2 linked regions of the Drosophila melanogaster genome follow. The protein of the gene in region 1 purifies or fractionates together with the protein of each later gene. This does not show direct contact. Each region holds a gene or a part of one and is shown in the gene's direction. Other genes may lie near its edges. The genes, in order: CLIP-190 and lva.

Region 1 (12,825 bases):
GAAAATGCAATCCAAGTGTATACTAAAAAAGCTTATGAACCCCTGCTTGCTATTAATGATATGAATTATTGTTTTGACGTAAAATATGAACCTCTCAATTTCGTAACAGTTACCAGGCTGCAATTACAGTTTTGTTATTAAATAAATAAATATTATTAAAAATTCAAACTTTGCCAGAGCTTAATATTGTTTATCGGTATTTTTAAACAAATCGAAGCTAAATGGACAAGTAAGGAAACGAAACTGCTTTTTTATAGTATGACACTGTGGATCCACTTAGTAACGATGGACACCAGGGGATTCCTTTTTTTGTGACAAATTGATCCAAAAGATTCTAAACGGCCTTTTTATGGCTATAAAATATCCAAGGGAGCGCCACTGTTAAACCGCTCAGTAACGAAGGACACCAGACGATCATTGCTGCTACATTTCCATACATATATATATATTTATTTTGAGTGAGTTTGTTATATTCTGAAACAGTTTTCGCTAAACTCCCTGTTTATGGCTATAAAAAGTCCAAGTGGGCAGCACCTTTGTCAGCTGCTGATTCCTAAGCCGGCGCCAACTTTGCGGTCTGCGCAGCTGCTGTTGCTGCTGCGAGTTGAAGTTGCTGCTGCATGTTGCTGCCGCTGCTGCTGCTGTTGCTACCTTCTTGCATTTGCTTGGGCTTCTCTTCTCACAATTTCTGCTGAGGCCAGCTGCAATTTTGTACCCGTTTTGCGCTTTTTCCTTCTCGATGCAATTACTTTAAACAATTTCCTGCTGTTGATTTTTCGCTTCACTCGATTGACTCTTTCTTGTGCCGTCCTTTGTCTAGGTTTTTGTTTATGGTTCTGTTTGATTTGCGTGACACGCGTGTTAATTAAACGCCCCAAAGGAATGCACAAAAGTGTGGCTACCTCCCACCCACACCGCAACAACAAATGATTTTAGGAAATGCTGACAGGCGCCTGCCCATTCCCCTTAATTTCATGCCATTTCGGGGGTTGCAAATGGCATGCGTGCAAATAAAGAAAAAAGAAAAATGGTCGGTGTATACACCCCCCCCCCCTCCCACATTTTTTCTGTTTCAGTTTCTTTGACTTTCTTTTGCTTTAGAATCATCGATTTCTTGGAAACTCGAAACCCTTGTGGTTGCAAGCCATTAAGGCTAAGAGCCGTTGCCACCTCTTAAAGTCCACCGCCCCCACTTGCGAAAACCCTTCGCCGAGGGTGGCTTCATTGTTCTCGAAGAGGCAATTTGTAGAGGTTCTTCGCTAGGGTGTATTTACAAATATTTTCCCCAAAGATTAACCCCTAACGAGAGGTTCAGCGTATCTCAATATTCCCCCTGTTTTCTATTTTCCACATGTCCATTCACACCAAAAATCCAGCATTTTAATTAGTAATTAGTCACGCCTTCGCAGTCGATGACTCAATTGCTGGTGAGAAAACGCATGAAACTTATTCGAAAATGAACGAAAAACCGGAAGCTCGTTGGCTCTCCATGTGGGGAAGGGTTTTCCAAAGAAGAAGGGATCGTTTCCCCATTTCGAACAAATAGCGCGTGGCCATAAGTCACGGATTGTCACAGCTTAATTCGAAAATCAAGTCACGTAGGCGGAAAACGGGGAGCGGAGTGGATTGGAAGGAAATTAAAAATATGTTTCCTAGGTTAGGGGGAGATTAAGTTTTATCTCTTTAAACACTTCTAGTATCCTAAATTTAATTGAAACCTTCCGAAATTTGTTACGTACTCTTTTCAATATCGAAGTGCATTGTTCAATTCAGTTTCATTAATTAGTCAATTTATGTTTGCTTTATAAAAATGTAATTTTAATTGAATTAATGGTAGACAAACTGAGAATTTTGTTTATTTTTGTTGCTCTTCAATTCCGGTATTATCCATCATCCAAGGCACTGGCTAAGTGGAATTTTTATTGAATTCTTTCCCTATTCTTTTACCAAATTAGTTTTCAATTTATGACACAATTTATTTTTATCTCTCTTCCACGGCAATTAATCTTCGCAGTCCAAAAATAAAAAGTTTCCTTCTATTCCAGACATTTCCACCGAAAATACATCAAAATACAGTGCGTCCTCTGAAAGGTGACATTCCACGTTCATAATAAGTCTTAAAATTAATAATAACATCTCATAGTTGGAATTTACTTTGTGTAAGTAATTAAAAGAAATAAACTAAAATAATTTTGTAGTTTATAATCTGTCTCGTTTCAATGAACATAATCTTCGATCTGTGAAGTATTGTTAGATGGAAAATTGCCATATCTCGCTTTTTCAGCGATTAGAATGACAACTAACCTTATCTACGTATCCTTTCGCCTTTCAGAGCGTTTACTGTATGTGTATACAACAAACACAAGTGAAAATCGATGAGAGACATGTCCCGTTGTGAGAACATCTGTTCGAGGGTAGCAGCAGCTGTGAGAGGGGGCGGGGTCCTGCGAGAGGGCGGTGAATTTTCTGGGTGGGTATTTCCCATTTACTATTTCTCCGCTGGTGCATATTTTTTGGTCCTAACAAAAACGAAAGTTGGTTGAACTTCGACAAAATTTTCGTGCCGGCTGCGGCGAAAATAAAAATAAATAAGGATAACACGAATAGTGCAAAGTGGCGAAGAGCGAATAACGGCGGTAATTATTGTCCTTGAGCGCAGTCCGAAAAGGGAGAGAATGGGAGAGCCGCAGAGAGAAAGAGCAGCTGATGGGAGGACAGAAAAGGAGGAAAAGGATGAACCTCCGACGGCTGCTGCAAATTATTGATTTTCAAGCAACAAAAGGAAAATTCGCCACTGCAATGGAGATGGAAAAACTTCGTTAGCTCACCGGCAACAAACCTCCTTTGCTTAAATGCCGCACCCTAAAGGTATACACATACGCCAAACATTTTCGATAAGCAACTAATTTAATTGCTTTATCAGTACTTGTACATATGTAAACTCTACTTTTACTTTTTCTGACGTCAAAAGAAAACTTTATAACTAACAATTTTCTAATCAACTTTAATACCATTTAACTTTGTAATATAAAAATGTATGCTTTTTCCAATAAAATGTTATTAACTTCGTACATTAAGTATTATTAAGAACAGTTTAAACTTTACTTAGGAAGTAATGAAAACCCAATTTTTTCCGGAGCTACGAAACCGGCTTGAAGAACACCTTTTCTTTGTTCTCCCTTACGAATATACACTATACAATAGCGGTACGCACCTGCGATGACAGTGTCGGTAAGTGAGTACTTCGTTCCAGTCCTGGGAAAGTCCTTCAGCTTGCGATTGGTCAGGATCAGTTCGCCGCTGAAGTGCGCTTCTTCCAGGATTCTTTCCAGGGAGCGCGTCAGCTGGGAATGACTAAGCAGGGCAGACGAGGTGGAGGAGGAGGTGTTTCCAGCGTGGCCTATTCCAGATCCCGATCCTGTTCCAGATCCTGGAAGGGAAGCCGACCCGCTGCCGATGGCGCTGCCAGCGGCGCTGCCGACGCCGACTGCGACGCTATGTAGGCGTTGGTAAACCGTTGCTGCCATTTCCCGTGTAGGCGTGGCGACACTTCCACACACTTGCACACACACACGCACGCGCTAAACTATCACACCGATAAGGAAACGGAGTGAAGTGCCGAAAGAAACCGAAACTGGAAACTAAATTTGCTCTATTGAAACGCACGCATCTCGATTATTTTTCATTTAGTGTACGTCTTCTTGGCTCATTGATAAGATTTCTCGGAATTGGATTTTCCTTTTGCGGCTTCCTTCTTGCTTCCTCTTCTTTGCCTCCTCGCACACACGCGCACTCACACACGCACAAGCTCACGCAGCAGACGAGCGACAGTGCACAACGAAAATCGAAAAACAACTGAATCGGTTTATGGGATGCTACTTGGGCAGCGCTGGAAACGTTGCTGTTAGTTTAAAATCGGCGTGCCTTTGAGTACTATCGATAAAATACCACAGTGCGCCGATGATACACTGGCTCCATTTTTATCGCAATTCGAAATGTCAACAATCTTACATTTTATAATGTAATGTAATGTTTGTTTATTCAGAATGATCTACCGTTTAGCATTTGCCCCTTCAAATTTAGGGCATTATTAGATTACTGAGTCGTTATTACACCGAAACATTTCATATAACTACTTAAAGAAAAAATGAACAAATGACCAGGTAACCTGGTATTGGAACCCGGCAATAAACTGGTTGAATATTAAAAAACCATGTTAGACTAAATTATAAATTCGTTAATTTGTCAGTTGTGTGGGCTCAGATCACAAATCTGAATAAGCTCAGCGACGCTTCCATTATTGGTGACATAATTTCATATTTTACATATTTATATTCACGAATAAATATTCGCCAATTTCCTACAGGGTGTTTTTGTATGACCGCATTACTCTAAAAATACCTCGGGAAAATATAGCCGCAACTATCGATTGGCGCGCTGCACTGGAGCTGTGCTACCATCGCTAACTCAGTGCAACAACAAAATTCCAACGCAACGCCAACTAAGTGCAAAAAAAATCTAAAATTTGTGTAAAATTGTAAAATCCCAATCGCGTATATTTCTAAATCGTATTCGCACAGCACAGTATGTAAAGCACTCCAGTTTATTTAAGTACTGTGTGTGTGTGCGGTAAACACACACCAATAAGAGTGCGTTTTCGCGTCCCTTTTCCCACCCTCTTCTAATGGTTCCCTCTTCTATAACTGTGTCAAATCAGCAGCAACAATAAAATATAGAACAGAGCTACAGCGTGCGTGTGTGTGTGTGTGAAATGCACAAATTGATAAGCAATTTGATTCAATTTAATCTTGTTTAAGTCTGATGAATATCAGCGCAAGCAGCCCAACACAAAATTATAAATAAAAAGTTACGAATTTATATAAATAGAATACCCTTGAGTGATTTTGTTAGTCGCATAAAATTAATTCAATACATATTTGTGTTCCGCATTTTTTGAAAATATAACGAAGTTCTGGCCAACGAGAGCAACAACAAAAAGCGGTCTTGTTTGTTTTTCAAGCTCAACGAAAAAAAGAAGAAAAGAAATCTGCTCTCAGTCAGCTGTTTTAAAGCAGCCGCCTAAGTGCGAGTGAGATAGCTGCCTGCGCGCCAAAATAAAGCAACAACAAAAGTGGAACAGTGGTTCAAAACCTAGCTAAAAATAAAAAAAATCCATTTATTTTTGTAGCAAAAATATAAAATAAAAGCAAATTAAGCGAATTATACATATATTTGTTAAGGTAAGTGATCAGCATTCCATTTATTTTACCAAAAATTATTCTTTTGCACTTGTTTTTCCCCCAAGTTTTTTAAATCGTTTACTTTTAATACGCGTGTGTCCTAATAAGTGAAGATTATTAAGAATAAAGTAAAAAATGAGTGATGATACGAGCGCTTCGGGCGGGACAAGTGCCCCTTTTCCATCGCCAGTTACTGCGGACCCGGAACCAGGAGCCACTGCCTCCAAATTACCGGGTCCCATCAGATCCAATATTCCCACGCCCGCTACTTCTGGTACCGGAATCCCGCAGCCCAGCAAAATGAAGGCACCATCTAGTTTTGGATCGACGGGTTCTGTTTCCAAAATCGGAAGACCGTGCTGCAATCACACAACTCCCAAATCCGGTCCACCACCAAGAGGTAAGTCTAATCGCATTGTGCAACAACGCAAACCAGTTAGTATTATTGCTCAAAGCAAATATGTTACTAAGAGCAGTATTTTTGAAAGTAGTTAAAGGTCTTAATTATCCCCTGGGTTTAATTATCATCCATTTTACAAGCTAGAATTTAAAGCAAGATGAAATTAAAACACATCTGAACACCAATGGGAATTCAACCAGAGCCCCTTTGAAAATCTTGTCAGTGCATTGTCACATACATATTAACATCTTAACAAAGAACATTAATTTCACAATTCAAGAAAAGGGGTTTTTACCGATTTCCACTTTTATACGCGAGTTCTTCACTTATAAAACAGTTGGAAGAAGTCTGATAATTGAATTGCTCTCCGGAAAATATCGCAGTAAAATATGTTTCAATAGTATAGCCCACCACTATACTATCACCAAGTACTCATGAAGGTTAATATTAAAAAATGTACCCACATTCAAATGGGAAAACAGAAACCCAAAAAGAATGGTGAGTTTAAATAATGCACTTTTAAGTTTGACATTGTAAAGGGGTCATTTCATCAAGTTTACTTACTCTCTACCCTCAATACCCGAGATTTGACTACTTTTGTGTTTGCATCTTTGGCTCAAGCAAGTCAAGCATCCGCCTACATATATATATGTGCACCCACAAGATGTAGATTGCTGTATACTATAAGCGAATGCAATGATCTAATGGAAACGATGACAGACCCACTCACTTGCTAAATATATACATACATATACGCTGACCCCACCCCATTTGAGTGCACTTTTTGCACTACATTGAACTTGCAATTATTTCGGCGAGAACTCGCGTAGTTAGTGTAAATTCTTCTCTAAAGAGAAACCATTAATAATTCCCAGCGTCAACTGTTTCGTTTGGTAAACAAATGCTTCACTTCTTTCAATTATTTAATCGTTTTGAAACACCAACGCACAATTCAAAAATAAACAAAACAAATTGCCGCCCACTCTTAACTCTCGATCATAATTATAGAGCTGCCCCGAAAAGTGTTTTTGGTAAGGAGAATTATGGCCAATTAGGCAAGTGCTGCTACCATTTAATTGATCCGCCCAATGTGGCTCATTTCAGGCACGTAACCGCACCGCAGTCGTCAACATACGACGACCCACTGGCCCATATAGCAAACGATCTGCCAAACGATCCATGGATCGATTGACGGGTTTTCTATTTCGCCGGCACACACGTTCCATATCCGATTGACAGTCGCAATGCAACCGCAAAATCGTAGAAATTTATTCCCTGTAAATTTACCCAAAAACACAAAAATTTGTAATGTTTAGGGTTACAGAAAAAACTGAGTCACGAGGTGTATTTAATTTGCATCCATAGAAATAGTTTACACGGCGCTATGTGCACTGTGATCATTTAGATTATCACTTTGTATTAGATTGGTTTTGTAACTAGTTTGTTTGCCCATTTATACATTATTTTTAAAATCGTTTATTGGTCGTTTATTGCACATAATTATTAAACCTATTTCAGAAATTAAGCTGTTTGCTTGGCTCAATGAAAGTCCAGTTTGTTTTGATAGCTCCGAATTTTTTGCTTTAGTACATTTAAATTTCTACGCTGATTTGTTTCAAATACGCCAGTGTTGATCGCCATATCAAAGAGATTATTCCGCATTTTGCCAATTATTAACGAAAACGAAGTGATATACCGCATGTCCCAAATAGTTGAACTACTTTAGTCAATTAGTAGTTTATGCGACGCGCTGCTTAAAACCAAATCCGTTCCAAGCGCCTGAGCGCCTTGATCCGCTGCCCAGATCAGCTTTCTAAAATCTCTCCTAGCATTCTGGAACGGACTGTTTGACTATCTGCCAAGAGACCCGTCATTTGGCCCGCCATACTCAATGCCAAAAGTCTGCGAAAATCTACTCAGCTCAAATGCGACCGAGAAAACCTGGCGACCGGCCGGCAATCTATCTCTACGTCGTCGTTCCCTAATTGAATTTGTTCTGGCGATGACACAGAAAACGTACTCAAAACGTATCTTCTAGCTTGTTCGTGAGCTCAGATCTTTTGAGGTGTTTTTGCGCTGCGCATTTGATGCCGGGTTCCGTTCTCAGTCGATCTGATATGAAAATTGCGGTCGTGGTGCTCGTGGATGAGCTTATGTCACTTTTATTGGTTTCGATCGGAAACAAAAGTGAAGTGAGCCTCTCTCCCACCCATAAAAACGGAAAGCTCATTTGTCTTCGCATTAAGATTGAATCGAAAACGCGTTCGGGATTGACGTCCAATGGATGAGCATCGTCTGGCGGGGGATTACTCCATTCGATTCTAGATTGAGCCCAGTTCTGTTTACATCACCGACTCCGTGGGAGAGTCAATATTGATGTTATGATTAACCACTTTTTGTCTCACTTATTTGACTTCACATCATTAAGTCGTTGAAATCTTTATAATTGAAGACACGTGTTGCATATTTAAGCTGAAAACGTCTCGGGTTTCAGCCAACAGAAAACAGTATCTTCTCTTAAAAGGAATATATATACATATTCGATTTGATAAGTTATGTATTTGTTATAGTTTAGAAAATTTTATTAAATACGTGTTTCAATATTTCAATGCGCTTTTTTGTGCATTGTCTTAAAAGCTGATTCATAGATGAATCTAAAGATAATTGATTCTGATTAACTGGCATTTAGTCTCTGGAATTCATTGTTACAATCTCGTCAAGCAATTCTTAAATTGTTTTCCTACGTGTAAACTTTATATATAATTAGACACAACCCGGCGTTTAAAAACTTTATCGAATCTTTCAATAGCCACTTCAAACATCTTTAAAGAAAAAATAATAATTTTCCAAAACTTACATACTTTTTTATAATAAATTTCACTGCTTATAAATATTTATATTTTATGAAATATATAAGGTCACATAAGATTTCTTCCAAGTCGAAATCCAAAACATATTTGCCTATTAATTATTGAATACAACAAGAACATATTTTTTAGAGTTTTCAAAGCCAATATGGATTGTTAAAAAAACCCAAAAAGTGAAATTCCATTTTTTCGAACTCTTGCTTAGTTATTTTCATGCATTTACTGCACTTGTGATTAGAGTGCTAAAAACCATTGAGCGATCGATCCATATGGTATCGAAGAAAGGGAAAATAAAATTGCAGCCATGTGGCAATTCTTTGTTTGCCGGATTAACTCACTTTGCGTGTCCGTGCAAAAGTCGAAAATAAAAACATTTTTTTACGGCTCTTATTTTTACGCGACGTTTATTCAATAAAAACACCGAGAGTGCGGAGCTATTGCCACAGTGTCTGCTATTAAACTCTGGCCAACAAAGCTTCGGCACCGGATTGGCAATCGGCTTCGCCGCTCTCTCGCTGCGAAAAAAAAGTATCTCAAAGTTTGCGCTGACTTCGCTTCGCGATTGGCTCTCGACGTTCAGTTACTTGAACGACTTTTCGCGAGGCGGACGTGTTTCAGACGCGGAATTGCAACTCAGATGGCAACCAATTGAACTTGATCGGCTCTATACTATAGCTTATATAGTGAACACGCAAACGAAATTGAAAATCCAAAATAGAAGCCAACTTTAACAGAGAGACTTACTTATTGTTATACAACTCACAAAAGGTGATTTGGTGTGCCAGCAAATTACGAATGTCGTTATTTAAATTGGAAATTTCCAATTAAAATATAAGGCTTTTAAAAAAGAACTGTAAAGGCATAAGTTATGTGAACCTTTTTCTACGTCCTTGTCGATGCCCTAAAAGGATTCGAGTTTACTGCAGTGCAAGATATTTTTGGAAACTTTTCGTTTTTCATATTTCTGGCGACAGCCTTTGACCTTGGCTTGGTCTGGTTGATAACCAATTGTTAATCAAATTTATTCTTTTGTTCCTATGTGAAACTTTGCTTTGGTTGTGGCCTCATAAATATTTATTTAATTTCGTGTCTTAGACAAACCTAGAAATTTTCCAATTTTTTTGTTTAATGTGGTTTTATTGAGTTTAAAGATAAGATACAGCGTTAATTGATATCTCTGTTCTAAATTATAACATGCTTAGATCCTTATCATTTAACCGATTTTGTTGGGCTTGGCCCATTTATGACTGCACAATTTAATGACAGCGATATTTCGGTCAATGAATAGTTTTATTCCTGTTTTGGACTAGATTTTATCAGAAAGCCTTGGTTTTTTAAATATAATAGGTGTATTTAAAGCGCATAAAAATAAAACTTGATAATTATCAGAAGAAACGACTTCAAAGGCTGGGTGTGGGCCTTGGCATTTGTACTTTTGGGCCTTTCCATTAGCCATTGCCGGTGTACTGAGATCGTAGCTAATTACGGATTTTCCGCTGGCATCCGCATTTTCCTGTTTGCAAGTACTTACATAAGTAAATTGACGCACAAAAACTTGTAAATGGGCTGTGAGCACGTGTCCCCAACCTCTCTCTCATTGAAATGTCGGCTAAATCGCCGAGATAACCTTAAGGCATTCTATATCTCCGATATCTACGATAAACTCTAAGCGACAACAAAAGTTTATTTGCCGAAACGGCAATAACAAAGTTCGGTTGCGGATTGTATTGAAAAGTTGCGGTTAACCGCTAATTAGATATACAAATTTGCTATTGCTGATTCGTATTTTGACTGAAAGAGACACAAACGTTGATCGGTCTAAAAATACGTACATATATATGCGAAATGGAATGACTTTCACAGCGGCAATATTTGCATATTGCCTAAGACTTTGATTTTTAGTGCAATTTGCTTTTTTTTTCTGTGTTTGTTTGTGGTTTTTGGGGCTCGGCGTTGACGTCTTATTGCCAAATCTACTGGGCTTCCACTGGCGGCCAACACCATATGCAAATTTCAATTTTTTTATTTAGTTGTCTGCAGCTAACTTTCTTTCCGTTTTGTGGCTTTCTTTTCACTGCCACGTTCCGTTCGTATAACGCACATTTTGTCGCTCAATTGTTTGAGTCATTTTGGACCAGGCCAAGTTGCTTGCTGTCATTTGCCTTGGCATTGTTATTGCTAACTGGTATTTTATCAGCTGTTATTATTATTTTGGTTCTGTTGTTGATAAGGAGAACACATTTTTATTTTGGATTCCATTCACACTTCCACTGACTGCGACATTGCCAGCCCAAAACTCTTCAACTTTTGCTGTTGCCACGCTATCTTTGAATTAGAACTGACCGGTGAGATTCTCACATTATTTCGCTAGGTAGTGAAATTGTTACTCATTTAAGATGTTGATTTTTCCCGAAATAAGAGAGAATCAAGATGCCAGTTATCTTGCTGGAATGTGTACTTGAAAATGGAGGAATTTGAGCTAAAATCTGATTACCATATCTGTTAAAGATATTTTTTTAGAATGATTAGGGCTTGAAAAAATATGAATACGTTTACCCATATATTTTTTATATTCAATATTTCTTTTTCATATTCATCTGTAAAAATTTGTATATAGCTTATTATTTGTAATACTCAGCATTTGTAGGTAAATAAATATGGATAGTAAATAAAGCATCTTATACAGTTTAAACGTAAAAGCTGATTATTAGTAAATTTTAAAAAAGTTTCGCGGCTGCTGCTGCTTACACAAATGGAATGCAAATATGGAGACTTTGTATTTAGAACCAGATATTCACATAAAGATTACACAATCCACCTGCAAAAACTTGTGGGCGTGTGGGAGCGATGTCATAAAGCCTTTTGAAGGCATCACCTTGACAGACTGATCATCCCATCTGTCAAACTGGGATACATACCCATATCTTTATATATTTAACACTAACTTCCGAACACATTCTATATACTTTTATATATTTGCTGTGGATCCCGCCACCGGCAATAATGATCTGTCGTCATTCAACTCAATTTAGTCGGTTTGTTTACACAATTTTATTGTTGCCGTTTGTTATATTTGATTTGATATTTATATATATATATGCTTTTGAAGCTCCCCAATGAGCTCAGCTTGGTATTTGTTCTAGAACTATTGGCATAGACAGGGCAACCTTTCGTGGGTGGTATATGTGGCGTATGAGTAATGCGCGATGCTGTATGATCACGTATACGCACCTTTGCGCCCAGCTAATTTGCATTGCACTTTGTATGACACTCATTTAGGAGCATTTAATTGCGGTAAATTTTCCCCGCCTAATTGCGTTTCACACGCCTCGAAAATGATTTTTTTTTATTTATTGTTTCGCCGGTTTTCTTTGCTTTTCCGCTGGCGGCACCTTTTATTTTTATTTTCACTGACTTCGCCGGCAATTAAATTACCGTTTCTTTGACTAAACACAAATCGGTAATGAAAAGAGAAAAAATTGGAAAAGGTGTAACCACCTTTGGTTAATTAATTTTTATGGTCCGCACCCGGTTTCTTTTTTTCGATTATGAAATGATATTTCATTTTGCACCTGTTTTGCTTGAAAATCTTTTCAAATGATTTATTGTCACAACTGAGTGAACCAAAGTCTTTCTGTGGCTTTTCGTGTAAACAAACCCATTATTGCCTTCATTTCTGTTTCGCTATTTTTTTTTTTTCGTTAGCTTAGTTTTGGCCAGCATATTTGTTTGTTTTCTTTGTTGAGATACTTTTCTGCGTCTAATGAATTTACGGACTACAATATTTTCGTAAGCTTAATGGAAGTGTTCATTAAGAAATGTGAATGGACCATAGAACGTAATTTGTTTTTTTTTTCTAAGGAATTACAATTTTAACAAACTAAGGAATACATCTTTTAACATTTCCTTCTTTGATCATATATTCCTGGTTTGATCAAATAGCTGCCCAAATGCTTAACAAATAAAAATTAAACAACAATTTTAATCACTTTTTCCTCATTTTTGTGGCTATTTTTTGTGTTCACCATTTTTGCCCATTGTTTTGCTTACACTTCAGTGCTTTTAATTATTTCGTTTGCAATAAAAGAACAGCAAAAGCAAAAGTCAAATAAATTAACACGTCACTTACACAATTCTCGGACCGAACACTTAAGTCTCGCTTGGAATAGCCTCAAGTGCTAAGTTAAAATGTTCAACAGAAATGCGTACTTTAATATATTTTTTTGTAGTAAACAATTTAATGATTTTTGCTCAAGGGCCTTAAATGTATAAATGAGGTATAGAGAATTAGGAGAAAACGTTTTCGTATCCTGAAATC
Region 2 (12,196 bases), on another chromosome or scaffold:
CCCGTCCTGAAGACCAATGGTCACGAGAGGCTGGCCTCGCTGGACAAAAGCATGCCGCCGGCATCGCCCACTCTGCCGAGTCCCACGATCCGCAGGAATAAAAGTGATGGAAAACTCATGGCCCAGGATGTCAAAGAGGCCCGGGTGAAGGTCATCTACACTGGCGGCACCATCGGCATGGTGCGCAACGAGCGGAATGGTAAGCAGCCCAGAATGTCACGAATACGAGGATTCATTGGGATTGCCCGAATCTGTCCATGTAGATAAGATCCCACTTTTACTAACAAGGGGAGTCTTAGAAAATGGCCAGATATGATAAGAGCAATGCACTTGAAAACATTTTATTCGAATAATATGTATGAAAGTTGAAATTGTTGGTATGAATGTAAACAAAACAAATCAATTGGCAGTCAACAGATTGTTGATGCTTCTATTTAAATATTGACTATTTGCTTGCTATTTATTGAGTGGTCTAATTAGGTATTTTAGTAAACATTTGACACACGAAGCGTGACCATAAATCATCATCTTGATTAGGAAACTAATTTGTCACGGAGTTTGTGACTATCAATATTAATATTCTATAATTATCGCAGTGTTAGCTCCCATTCCCAATGCCCTGGTGCGCAGCATCCGCAAATATCCAAACATCCACGATGAGGAGTACGCGCTGCGCCGCTTTGGAGCATCTGCATCGATGGCTCCACTGGTGCTGCCCATTGTGCAGGGCGTAGATCGCCGGGTTATCTACCAGATCTCGGAATATACACCGCTGCTGGACAGCAGCAATATGACGATGAACGATTGGGCGCGAATCGCCAGCGATATTCAGGTACATACATATATATATATATGAAAGGTAATATTAATCCTTTCCAAATTATTGTCTAGCAATCGTACGAGTTCTTCGATGGCTTTGTGGTGCTCCATGGCACCGACACGCTTTCCTACACCGCATCTGCATTGTCTTTCATGTTGGAAAATTTGGGCAAGACGGTGATCATCACGGGCTCCCAAATACCCATCTTTGAGACGCGAACCGATGGCAAGGACAATTTTACGTCAGCCTTGATCATAGCCGGTAACTACATCATTCCGGAGGTTTGCATCTTCTTTGGCCATAAGTTGATGCGCGGCAATCGGACGGTGAAGGTCAGTTCGAATGCCTTAGACGCGTTCGACTCACCGAATGTTCCACCACTGGCCAGGATCGGCATTGATGTGAACGTCGACTACCGCCTGATATTCCGGCCATGCACTATTGAAAGGTTTTGCGTACACTTGAATCTCGACGAGAACGTCGGCTTGCTGCGAATCTTTCCGAGCATTTCGCACTCCACATTCCGGGCTTTCCTGGCGCCACCGATTCGCGGCGTTGTCCTGCAATCCTTCGGATCTGGAAACATACCATCGAACCGAAAAGATCTCATCGATGAACTGCGTGCGGCTGGTGAACGAGGCGTTATCATCATCAATTGTACACAGTGTCCCAATGGCACAGTGGCGGAGATCTACGATACGGGCAAGGTGCTCTGCGATGTCGGTGTAATTCCCGGTTTCGATATGACGCCCGAGGCGGCGCTGGCCAAGCTGGCCTATGTCATCGGCAAGGAGGAGTGGTCACTCGATATGAAGAAGCAGGTAAGTTTCGACTATAATTCAATACATACATAAATATGGATAATCCACAATGTGTGCATTTCATAGATGATGCAGTCAAGCCTGAGGGGCGAACTGACCTCCTTAAAGGCTCCCAAAATGGAGGACTACGACTTGGTGGACGCAGTGGCACGGTCTCTGCACTTGTCCTCGCCCCAAGAACTGGATCAGCTGGGCGAAACGCTCTTTCCGGCCATGATCAACGCCGCTGTGGCCGAAGGTGATCCCAAGAAGATCAACAACTTGAAAGCCTATGGCGCCGACTTGTCGGGCACAAATCATGACCAGCGAACGGCCCTACACTTGGCTTGTCAGCTGGGAAACGTGGAGATCGTTAAGTACCTACTGCAGAACGGGGTGTCCGTGCACGTGCGTGATCGGTATGACCGCACTCCACTTCTGGAGGCTGTCGCCACCGATAGCCACGAGATCATCCAGTTGCTCATCAACTGTGGTGCTCATTTGACGGGCTCTTCGCGAGCGGTGGGCGAGCAATTGTGCGCGGCCGCTGCTAGGGGATCGATGATCAGATTGAAGTCCTATCAATACGCCGGTGCCGATCTTGCCCAGTCGGATCCTTCGGGCAGGACGGCCTTGCACGTGGCAGCACTGCACGGATTTCCGGAGGTGGTGCAATACGTCCTGCCCTATTTCGAGAATCCGAACGAGAAGGACATGCTCGGCCTGACCGCCATGGATTATGCGGAGCGCGGCGGACACGCAGCGGTTATGGAGGTCCTAAAATCATAGAAATCTCTTCCGAACCATACATACCTCGTTCCTTGTTCCTGCAGCATGAAGAAAAAAACAAACACTGGAGGCTAGGGTTATTTCTTTTGTACTTAAGTGTTGCATCTAGTCTAATGGTTCCTTATTATCAGTTTTGCATAACTCGCATATTAACGATGTTGTCGTGGTAGTTTTTATTATTAAGTGTCGAATCCCTGACCTGTTTTTAAGTAGTCCTTATTTACTAATGTATCCATTGTATGCAATAATATTATTAGCCAAAACCAAAAATTAACCAATCATGTCTAAAATTAAGCATCAGACATATTAAACGGTTGTATAACAAGTTATATACACAAACTAGTATAATTTGTTGTATGAAAATAAATAAAATCAATTTGAAATTAATGCAAAATTTTTGAATTAGTTTGTAATCGATTGATTGATTACGAGCGCAAGTGCTATCGAGCCATCTGTCATTCGATAACTTACCAGGGCTTTGTGACCCTATTCAGTTGTTGCGCAGCCCTGGTATCGAATTGTTTTTACGCTGGCATTAATTAGAATTGGTAAATATACATCTGTCAGCGTGCACATAAGAAAGCTCTTACGTTGCAATCTAGTGCTTAGTGGCTTGTAACTCAGAAACCAGGCGAAAATCGACACAAGCGCTGGAAAAACAGCAAACAAAACACACACACAGCCCCACTCGCACACACACAGCCGCACACACACGCACACATCTATAGAGAGGTGCACACGTCAGTGCCACGAATTCCATAAAATAAAAAGAACAACAAGAAACGCAAATTCAAAGCTAAAGACAATTCTAGCCGATCGGAAGCGGATGATATATGTTAGCTATATGGTAAACCCTCTCTCGTTGCAGTCAATGTCGATAGCTAGCGCTGCGCAGCCACCGTGGATATATAATCGGTCCTTCAGATAGCCAGTCCGCATATATATTCCCGATTCCCCCGATTTGTGTTTTTGTTTGTTTTTGGTTTTTTTTTTTTTTTTGTTATTGCTGCTGCATTTGGTCCGGTACGCTAGGATAGTTAGTAATATTTTGTAATTGAAACGACAATGGCGGAAGATTCGGGTGCTTTGGAGAGCTCCTACGACTTCTCCATCGTTCAGGTGGGTTTCACTTGGTGTTCCCTGTACGTACATGCGTCCATACTGATCATGACCACTTGCAGCCCGACGATCACGAATATGGCGAGGCGGATATACGCTTAGCGGGCAGCTCCAACGATCTGTCCTCGTTACAGGTGGGTAAATCTGAACAAATCCCCCAAGTGAAGCAGGATTCAATATTATCTGTTGAATCTACCCTACAGAATGTATCCGCCAGCACAACGAGAGGCACCAAAGGCAAGGGCCGTTTGGATAGCCTTAAAGAGAATCTGTACAAGCAGCAGGTGAGTTAGGCGCTGTGAATCAAGTGGTTCATATCATTAAATGACTCGAAATGATTGCTTTCAGGAGCGCCTCACTGCCTTAAAAGAACGCGCCTTAAGGAAATCCCAGGATGAGCGACACAAGTCCAGCATGAGTGACTCCATGGAGTCGCTTAAGACACTGGGTCAGAAGCTCACCGTGTTGAAGACGCGCTCCGGCGACTCCTCCACTCCACTGGTCTCACCCACAAAGGACAGCGACCCCGGTGATGTCTCTTTACTCCAAACCAGTGGCAGCGAGAAGCTTCTGATGCTCACACAGCGCACGGAACAAAATCGTGCTTTGTTGGAGCAGCGCAAGAGGGATCTGGCCAAGTCTCTTCTTTCTGTAAAGTCGAATATTGGCCACCAAACGACCGCCGAGCTGGGCTCTTCCATGACGGACCTACGACACGCGGCGTCTGTCTCCAATCCACCCGTATCCCGCCATCGTTCTGCCTTGGACTTGGAGGCCCAGGGTCAGGAGGCGGTGGACGAAAGCCGGGTGAAGTTGCTCAGGAGTCGTATGAAGTTGACGGAACTCAAGCAGGGCCGGCAGGAACAGGAGCTAAATGAATTGCGTACAGAACTGGCCAAGCGCGCTAAACTCATCGAGCGATTGGAACTATCCGGTGCGGAATTACAGCGCACGCTCACCCAGCGAAACGAGGAGTTAGAGCAATTGCGTGTGGTCCAGGCAGAAGAGGATAGCCTGAAGGTGCAGGAAAACTCTCGCCTCCAGGGCGAAGTTTTAGTCTTAAGAGAACGACTAGCAGAGCTGGAAAACGTCAACGACCTGTTAGAAACGACGCGCTGTGAACTTCAGGAAGAGCTGACCACGGCGCGCGAAAGACAGCGTAATCTGGAGTTGGAACAAGAGCAGGAAAAGGCTTCCCGCAGTCCGCAATCGGAAGCAGCGCATACCGATGCACAGGTGAGCGCGGAGCTAGCCAAACAGCTCCAGGAGCTTACCAACCAGCTGGCTGATCTACAGGCAACTAATGAGGAGTTGCGTCAGCAAGTTGCTGCCCAGGCGAAGCTCCAGGTGACCGATGAGATTGTTTCCCAGCGCCTTGAGGAACTGGAAGCCACCATAGCGGCGCAGCTTCTAGAGCTGCAGGAACAGAAGTCGGCAATGGCTGCCCAAAACGAAGAACTCGCAGAAAAGACAACGGAACTCAATGTGCTCAATGTGAATCTGCGTCTCCTTGAGGAGAAACTCGCGCAAAGCAGTCGCAGTAAGCCCCTATTTCTGGAGGACCATTCGGAGGACAGTGCCGCCAGCAAGCAGATGCAGGAGGATCTGCAGCAGCTGAAGCTAAAGCTGGACGAAACTAACAAGGCCAACATAAAGCTAAAGCTGAAATGCAAGCAGGCGGAAAAGAAGCTGCAGAAATTCCAATCCCAAGATGGCCAACAGCAGTTGGCTTCACTGTTGGCTGATAACGAGGAACTGCAGCAAAGGATCGCCGTCCTCGAGGACGAGAAGGGTCAATGGCAGTTGGCCAACATGCAAGAGGACGACCGCCAGCCAGAGCAATCGACGGAGTCCAATAATCCACTGCAGCTGGAAACAATTCGTTTGCTGGAAGAGCAGAAATTGGAATTGCAACAGGCCCTAGAGGCCTTACTCAGTTCATCCAGTTCTGCGGAATCCATTGAAATAGTGGAGCGTCATCACTTAGAGTGCCTAGGCCAACGACGTCCGGCCAGCGAGGGCGACGCCCAGGAGCAGAAGCAAGTGCATCCACCAGGGCCAAGTCACGTCAGCGAGCTCACTCAGACGGAGCAAACTGAGGAGGAGGATTCCTCTGGCGAAACTCTTTCCCAGCTTAGAGAACGTCTCGAACTTTTCACCCAGGAGCGCGGAGAGGTATTGGACAAGCTGGAGCAACTGTCGGCCGAGAATTTGCAACTCCAGGCAAGATTGGAGGAAAGTTCAAGTTCTCTTCAGCTGTTGCAGCGTGAACGTGAGAAGGATCTGATCTCCTCCACGTCCACTTCATCCAATCTCTCGCAGGAACTCAGTTCAATGCAACGCTCCTCCGAAGTTGTCGCAACACTGGACGCCGGCGAAGGAGGCCCCGTGCTCTTTGAGAAATGCGAGAAATCCCTGAGCAAACTCAACTCTGAATTGGAGGCCTATCGCAAGGCCAACGATAGGCAGGCCAAGTTCAATGTGTCCAAGAAACTGGCCAAGGAGGCCAAGAACTGTCACACCCAATTGAGTGAGCTTCTCCACAAGGTTAAGGAAGCGAGCACGGCGGTAGAAACTGTTACCGTTGTGGAGACCGTGGTGGCCGTGACCGCTCCCAACGGAAAAGCTCTTGCGGAATATGAGCAGCTAAACGCACAGAACGCGGAACTCAAGGCGGTGATCTCCCGATTGCGCCAGGAATTGGATGAATTGCGGGAAAGCTATCCTGAAACCGAAGCGCCATTGGCCATAGTTGGTTCCGATTCTCAAAGGGAAGATGAAATCCTGCAATTGCAGTCCCAGCTGGAGGACGCACGCTCCTTGCAGGCCGAGCAACGCCAGCAGATCGAGGAGCAGGTAGATCAAATCAAGGAGCTGCGTCAAACCGAAGCAGAACAGCTGCAATTGGTGGCCAGGCAGAGTGCCGAGATCACACAACTCCAGCTGCAATCAGAGCAATTCGATCAGCTGCTCAACTCCAAGGAAATGAGCCATGAGAAGCAACTGGAGCAGCAAACAAGGATTCGTCGAGAGTTAGAGGCCCGAGCCGAATCTCTGGAGGGCGAGCTGAGTATCCTACAGACTCTAGTTGCCGAGCAGAAGCAGCAACTCATTGAGAGTGTCAGCGAAAGCGAGCACGCGCTTAACCTTAAGATGCTGGAATTGCAATCAGCACAAGAGGAGCTGCGCGAATTGAGAGCCAAAGAGGATCCGGATCAGCTCCGAGAGGCTCTGCGCGTTAGCAAAAGTTTAGTTGCCCAGCAGGTCAGAGAGTTGACCTCCAGCCAGGAGACTGTCGATGCCCTGAACCAGCAAATCCAGGAGTATCAAGGATTAGAACATGCCCACAAAGAGGAGCAGTTCAAGAACCGCGAACTGCGCGAGAAACTCAAGAAGTATGCCCTTAACCTCAAGAAACGCACACAGGACAATGCCGATCTCGAGCAGAAGGTCCAGGAACTTACTAGTCAACTTCAAGAACAGCAGGAGCTTGTCAAGCAGAAAGAAGAGGTGGAACGTGAACCCATCGTGGACAACCATCGGGTTGAACAACTGCAGCAACAGGTCAGCAAGCTTAACGAAGACCTTAAGGCCAAGATCCATCTCAACCTGGAAAATCGCGATGCCCTGCGTCAGTTAAAGCAGCAAATACAAGAGCAGGAGCAACTTATCCAAGAACGTGATGCGGAGCTCCAAGATGCCAATCTGGTAAGCAAGGAGTTGCGACGCGAGCGCCAAGAAGCCGATCAGGAAGTCTTTCAACTGGGCCAGGAAAACTCCAGACTCAGGGAAGAAATCTCTAAGCTTCAGGAGGAAATCCATAATCTTGGACAGAGGGTAAACGAAGAGCCCACTGCTGTCGAGGATTTGCGGCGTCAATTAGAGGCCAAATCGAAGAAATTCGAAAAGTCCAAGGAGTTGATAAAGCTTCGCAATGCCACGATTCAATCGCTGCAGCGTGAGTTACAGCAACTGCAGCAGGATCAAGACAGCGAGGTGGAACATGTGCGGAACGCGCGGGCCGCTCACGAGCAACTGCGTTTAGAAAAGGATGCGGAGGTGAGTAATCGATTTTTAGGCATATTTGATGTCGAAGATAATAATCAACCACAACAGATTACTGCCCTCCGACAAGAGATTCTTAAGCTGGAAAGGAGCAGGGCAGCCGGTGAAGGCGATGATACCATTACCAAAACTTCACATCAACTATTGGAATCACAATCGGTGAGATTGAACTTTGAACTTGAACCTCATTTACCTTCTAATGCAACAAATAAAAAAAATTTTTAGCAACAACAAGCGGAATCCCTCCAAGTGGCAGAGAGAGAACTTCAACAGCTTCGTGTCCAGCTTACGGCGGCCCAGGAGCAACACGCTCTGTTGGCGCAACAGTACGCCAGCGATAAGGCAAACTTTGAGATGACCATCGCCCGTCTGGAGACACTTCACGAAGGGATTCAAGCCAAGCTACAGGAGGATGCCTCGTACATTGAGTCGCTGGAGGCTCAGAATACGGAACTGCAGGCCAGAAGCGCTGCTCTTGAGGAACAGGCCGCCAGTCAGGCTAACCAACAAGCGGCGTCCCAAGATAAAGTGCAAATACTGGAGCAACAGTTGAAGGAACAGCGCGAGCAGGAAGAGCAGAAGCGCCAACAGGATCAGCAGCTACAGGAGCGTTTCTATGAGCTTGGACAACGGGAGCAAGCTCAAAGTCGCCAACTTGAGTTGCTCACCAGCGAAGCTGAAGAGAGCAGGCAGCAACTGGCTGGCCTGCGAACGGAGTACGAGTCTCTGCTGGCCAAACACTCGCAACTAACAGCCACCGCCCAGGCAGAAAGGGAACAGATGAGCAGCCACAGCCAGGAGGAGCTGGCCGAACTCCGACAGCAACTGGACGTCAAGGAGGCGGATCTGCACCGTCAGCGGCAGGTTTACGATGCCAAACTGGCAGCCAAGGCCACGGAGCTCGATGAACTCGAATGCGACCTCAATAGCCATGTGGAGCGAGCTGCAGCCGAAACGCGAGAGCTTTGCCAGCAATTGGAGCGGTCCCAAGAGCTGGTGGCCCAACGAACTGAGGAACTACAGCGACTCAACGAAGAGTTCCAGGAGGTGGAACGCGAGAGATCCACTTTGAGTAGGGAAGTGACACTGCTTCGTTTGCAGCATGACAGTGCTGAGCAAGATGTTTTGGAGCTACAGGAACTTCGCATGCAGGCCATGCAGGACAAGACCGAAATGGACAACCTGCGCACTCAGATAGATGCTCTATGCGCCAATCACAGCCAGGAGCTGCAGGCGCTGCAGCAGCGAATCGCTGAGTTGGACACTCTGGGTCAGAATCAAACTGATGATCAGGTCTACATCGAAACGGAGAACAAGCGTTTGGCGGAGCAGCTAAGCGAACTGCAGGCACAACTGGCCAGGCAGCAGCACCAGCAGCAGCAGCAACAGCATCATCATCCTGCTGTACAATCTCAGCAGCATCCTCCACCGGCTTCACTGTTCTTTGGTGGCGATGCTTTGGCCGCCCCCTCGCCCTTCGATGAGATAGCCCAACCACTGAGGGTTTCTTCCCTAGCGGCAAGTGCACCGCCACCTATTTCTCCACCACCTACAATCGAGGATCTTCAGCGAAACGTTTCTGATCTGGAGAAGCATGCACAGGACTTGGAAACGAAGCTGCTGGCGCGAAATCAGAACTTGGCCGAGCAGGAAGAGCGACGTTTGCAGTTGGAGCAGCGTCTTTCGGAAGTAGAGCGCCTGCTAAGCGAACGGACACAGCAGCTGGCCGACATTCAAACGGCAAATGAGGAACGTGATCGCTTGGCGGCACTGGAGAAGCTTATCCAACCGGCGGCAGCGCCTACATTGGACATGTTCTTCGGCGGTCAGGCAGAGGAAACAGTGCCCGATGCTGTTAGTCACCATTTGGATTTGGGTCTGCCCCAAACGGAGCCAGTGGTGGAACCACTGATCCAGCCCAAAAAGGCATATTTGTGCCAGCCAAAGCAGGAAATTCAGGAGCAGACTGCTCAAACCATTGATTGGGGCGTTGACGAGGATCCCTGGGCCAGTGCTGCCAACGAAGCGCCGCAAACCGATGTGGAGCACCTGCACACGAGAATCGCTCAATTAGAGCTGCAGTTGTCCAATGCCGAGCAGCAAAAGACCGAACTACAGACTAAAGCCGCCAAGCTTATGAAGCGTCTGAAGGAATACAAAACGAAGGCAACAACGACCGCCACGCCCACTGTGACAGTGGATAATGATCTGGATTCAACCATTATTGAGGAGCTGAAGCATCAGCTCCAGTTGCAAGAGTCTCGTCTGAGCAAAGCGGAAGAAATTTCACAACAGCACGCCCTGGAAAAAGAGAAGTTAGCGAAACGTATCGATGTTCTGACAGCAGGAAACGATCGTATGGCCGAAATGAAGGAGCGTCAGGACATGGATGTGCAAATGTACCAGGCTCGCATTCGGGAGCTCCAAGAAAAGCTTAGCCAACTAGACCAGTGGGGTGAGCCCGCCGCAACTGTCTCTTCATCCTTAGACGGCGATGAGGCGGCGAGGATTGAGAGCCTACAGCAGGAGATCCAGCAACTGCGCCAACAAGTAAGCGAACTGGAAGATGAGCGCACACGCGACCAAGCCGAATTGGGAGCATTGCGTCAGAGTAGCCAAGGTTACGATGAGGCGGAAGACAACCAAAAATTGGAACTCCAGCAACTGCGCCAACAAGAAAGCGAACTGGAAGCACTGCGCACACGCGATCAATCCGAATTGGAAGCACTGCGTCAGAGTTGTCAGGGTCACGACGAGACGGTAAGGATTGCGACCTTGCAGCAGGACAATCAACAACTAGAGCTCCAGCAGCTGCGCCAAGCAATAATCGAACTGGAAACTCTGCGCGCACGCGATCAAACCGAATTGGAAGCATTGCGTCAGAGTAGCCAGGGTCACGATGAAGCGGCAAGGATTGCAATCGAGCAGCGGGATAATCAACAACTGGAGCTTCAACAGCTGCGCCAACAACTAATCGAACTGGAAGCTCTGCGCGCACGCGATCAAGCCGAATTGGAAGCATTGCGTCAGAGTTGTCAGGGTCAACAACTCTCGGTGGACATGGCCTCCAGAAATGATGAGCAAATGGCTCAACTGCAGGAGAAGGAATCAGAGATTGTGCACCTAAAGCAACGCATCGAAGAGCTTATGCGCGAAGATCAAACGGAGAAGCTTGTCTTCGAGATCCTGACCAAAAATCAAGAGCTACAGTTACTACGCATGCAGGTCAAGCAATTGGAGGAGGACAAGGAAGATCAGCAGGTGTCAGCTGCTCCTCCAAAGGACGACGGGGAGACCGTTGAAAAGCTAAAAAGCCTGTGCCAACAGCTCCAGCAAGAGAAATCGGATATGGAGGAGGAACTGCGTGTGCTTAACAATCATGTTCTTAGCAGCCTAGAGCTGGAGGATAGGATGAAGCAAACGCTGCTCCAGCTGGATACCAAAAACATTGAAATCACCGAGCTGCGCCGTTCTCTAGAAATCTTGCAAAGCCAAAATCTTGGCCAGAATTCCGCTGCAGAGCAAATACCCGATCTGTCAGCTATCAATCAGCAGTGGGAACAGTTGGTGGAGCAAAAGTGCGGCGAGGTGGCCAGCATTTGGCAGGAACATCTCTCTCAAAGGGAAGCCGCCTTCAAGGCGCAACTTGAGGAGGTTACCCAGCAGCAGCAGAGGGAACTGCCCCAGAGTCAGCAGTCCACACAAGGTGAGGCCACCAGCGACATAATGCAAAAGATGCAAAAGGCGCTGGAAACGCAGGAAATGGAGATAGTGACGCTAAAGGAACAGCTGGCCATTCGTTCAGCCGAGTACGCTCGTTTAGCCGCCCAATACGATCCGTTCCGGCTGCAGAATCGTGGTGGAGCCAGTGGGGGCAATCCTGCCTCGACAACAGTCTCAGCTGGTGGACCACCATCCTTAACTGCCAACGAACCACTGCCCGAGTATGTGCTTAAAGCGGATCTAGATTACGCCCTCATGATGCTCCACCAGCGCGACATGCGAGTCGAGGAAATGATTGTGGAACTGGTGCAGTTGCTCGAGGAACGTGATCACCTGCAACTGAAGTTGTCGGACACACTGCGCCAGTTGGAAACTGAGCGGAGTCGCGTTAGCGATGAACGTGAGTCGGATTGCCAATTCTGAGCATTTTTGTTATATATGATCCGATCCAATCCTAATTTTTGTTCTCCTCTATTCCGGAGCAGCAAGTGCCACGGCATCCTCATCAGCCGCCTCGAGCAGCAGTCCCAGTAAAATCAGCAGTGCGGGCAGCAACAGCGAACTTCTGGGCACGACGAGCGCAGCGGGCAGTGACCTCAAGCAGAAGTGAGTGCTGTCCTACAAGATAATGGAGCAAAGGCTTAATGGTTGTTATTGCTCTTTTCAGGCTAGCTGAGTTGCAGACGGTGAAGCATTCCAAGGACAAGGTCATCGTGGACGAGCGCGAGCAGCGCCTGCAGCAGATGCTTCAACTGCAGAAGGACATGGCCAAGCAGGGCTCGGGATCACAATCAGGAGCAGGGGCAGTAGCAGCAGTAGCGGCACCAACATCAGCAGCTCCAACAGCAATAGGCGTGGATCTCTGTGAGTGGATGCTACT

The links.
Region 2: the proteins of CLIP-190 (region 1) and lva purify together in Drosophila melanogaster (affinity purification with western blotting; 2 studies listed by BioGRID, with this or other methods). This does not show direct contact.

The regions. Positions count from the first base shown.
Region 1 is NT_033779.5:17,380,256-17,393,080, forward strand, and holds the start of CLIP-190 (cytoplasmic linker protein 190), read left to right. Parts: upstream 1-4,759; 5' UTR 4,760-5,240; intron 5,241-5,305; 5' UTR 5,306-5,375; coding exon 5,376-5,640; intron 5,641-5,890; exon of another isoform or gene 5,891-6,074; coding exon of another isoform or gene 6,075-6,138; intron 6,139-9,085; exon of another isoform or gene 9,086-9,275; intron 9,276-12,825. Other genes in the region: Lrch (Leucine-rich-repeats and calponin homology domain protein), read right to left, coding at 3,215-3,527. UniProt on the Drosophila melanogaster protein: Together CLIP-190 and jar may coordinate the interaction between the actin and microtubule cytoskeleton. May link endocytic vesicles to microtubules. May play a role in formation of furrows during cellularization.
Region 2 is NC_004354.4:3,956,033-3,968,228, reverse strand, and holds the start of lva (lava lamp), read left to right. Parts: upstream 1-2,901; 5' UTR 2,902-3,474; coding exon 3,475-3,528; intron 3,529-3,590; coding exon 3,591-3,662; intron 3,663-3,731; coding exon 3,732-3,812; intron 3,813-3,876; coding exon 3,877-7,587; intron 7,588-7,644; coding exon 7,645-7,752; intron 7,753-7,818; coding exon 7,819-11,716; intron 11,717-11,801; coding exon 11,802-11,922; intron 11,923-11,983; coding exon 11,984-12,180; intron 12,181-12,196. Other genes in the region: CG6428 (uncharacterized protein), read left to right, coding at 1-199, 597-832, 892-1,641, 1,708-2,409. UniProt on the Drosophila melanogaster protein: Lva and spectrin may form a Golgi-based scaffold that mediates interaction of Golgi bodies with microtubules and facilitates Golgi-derived membrane secretion required for the formation of furrows during cellularization.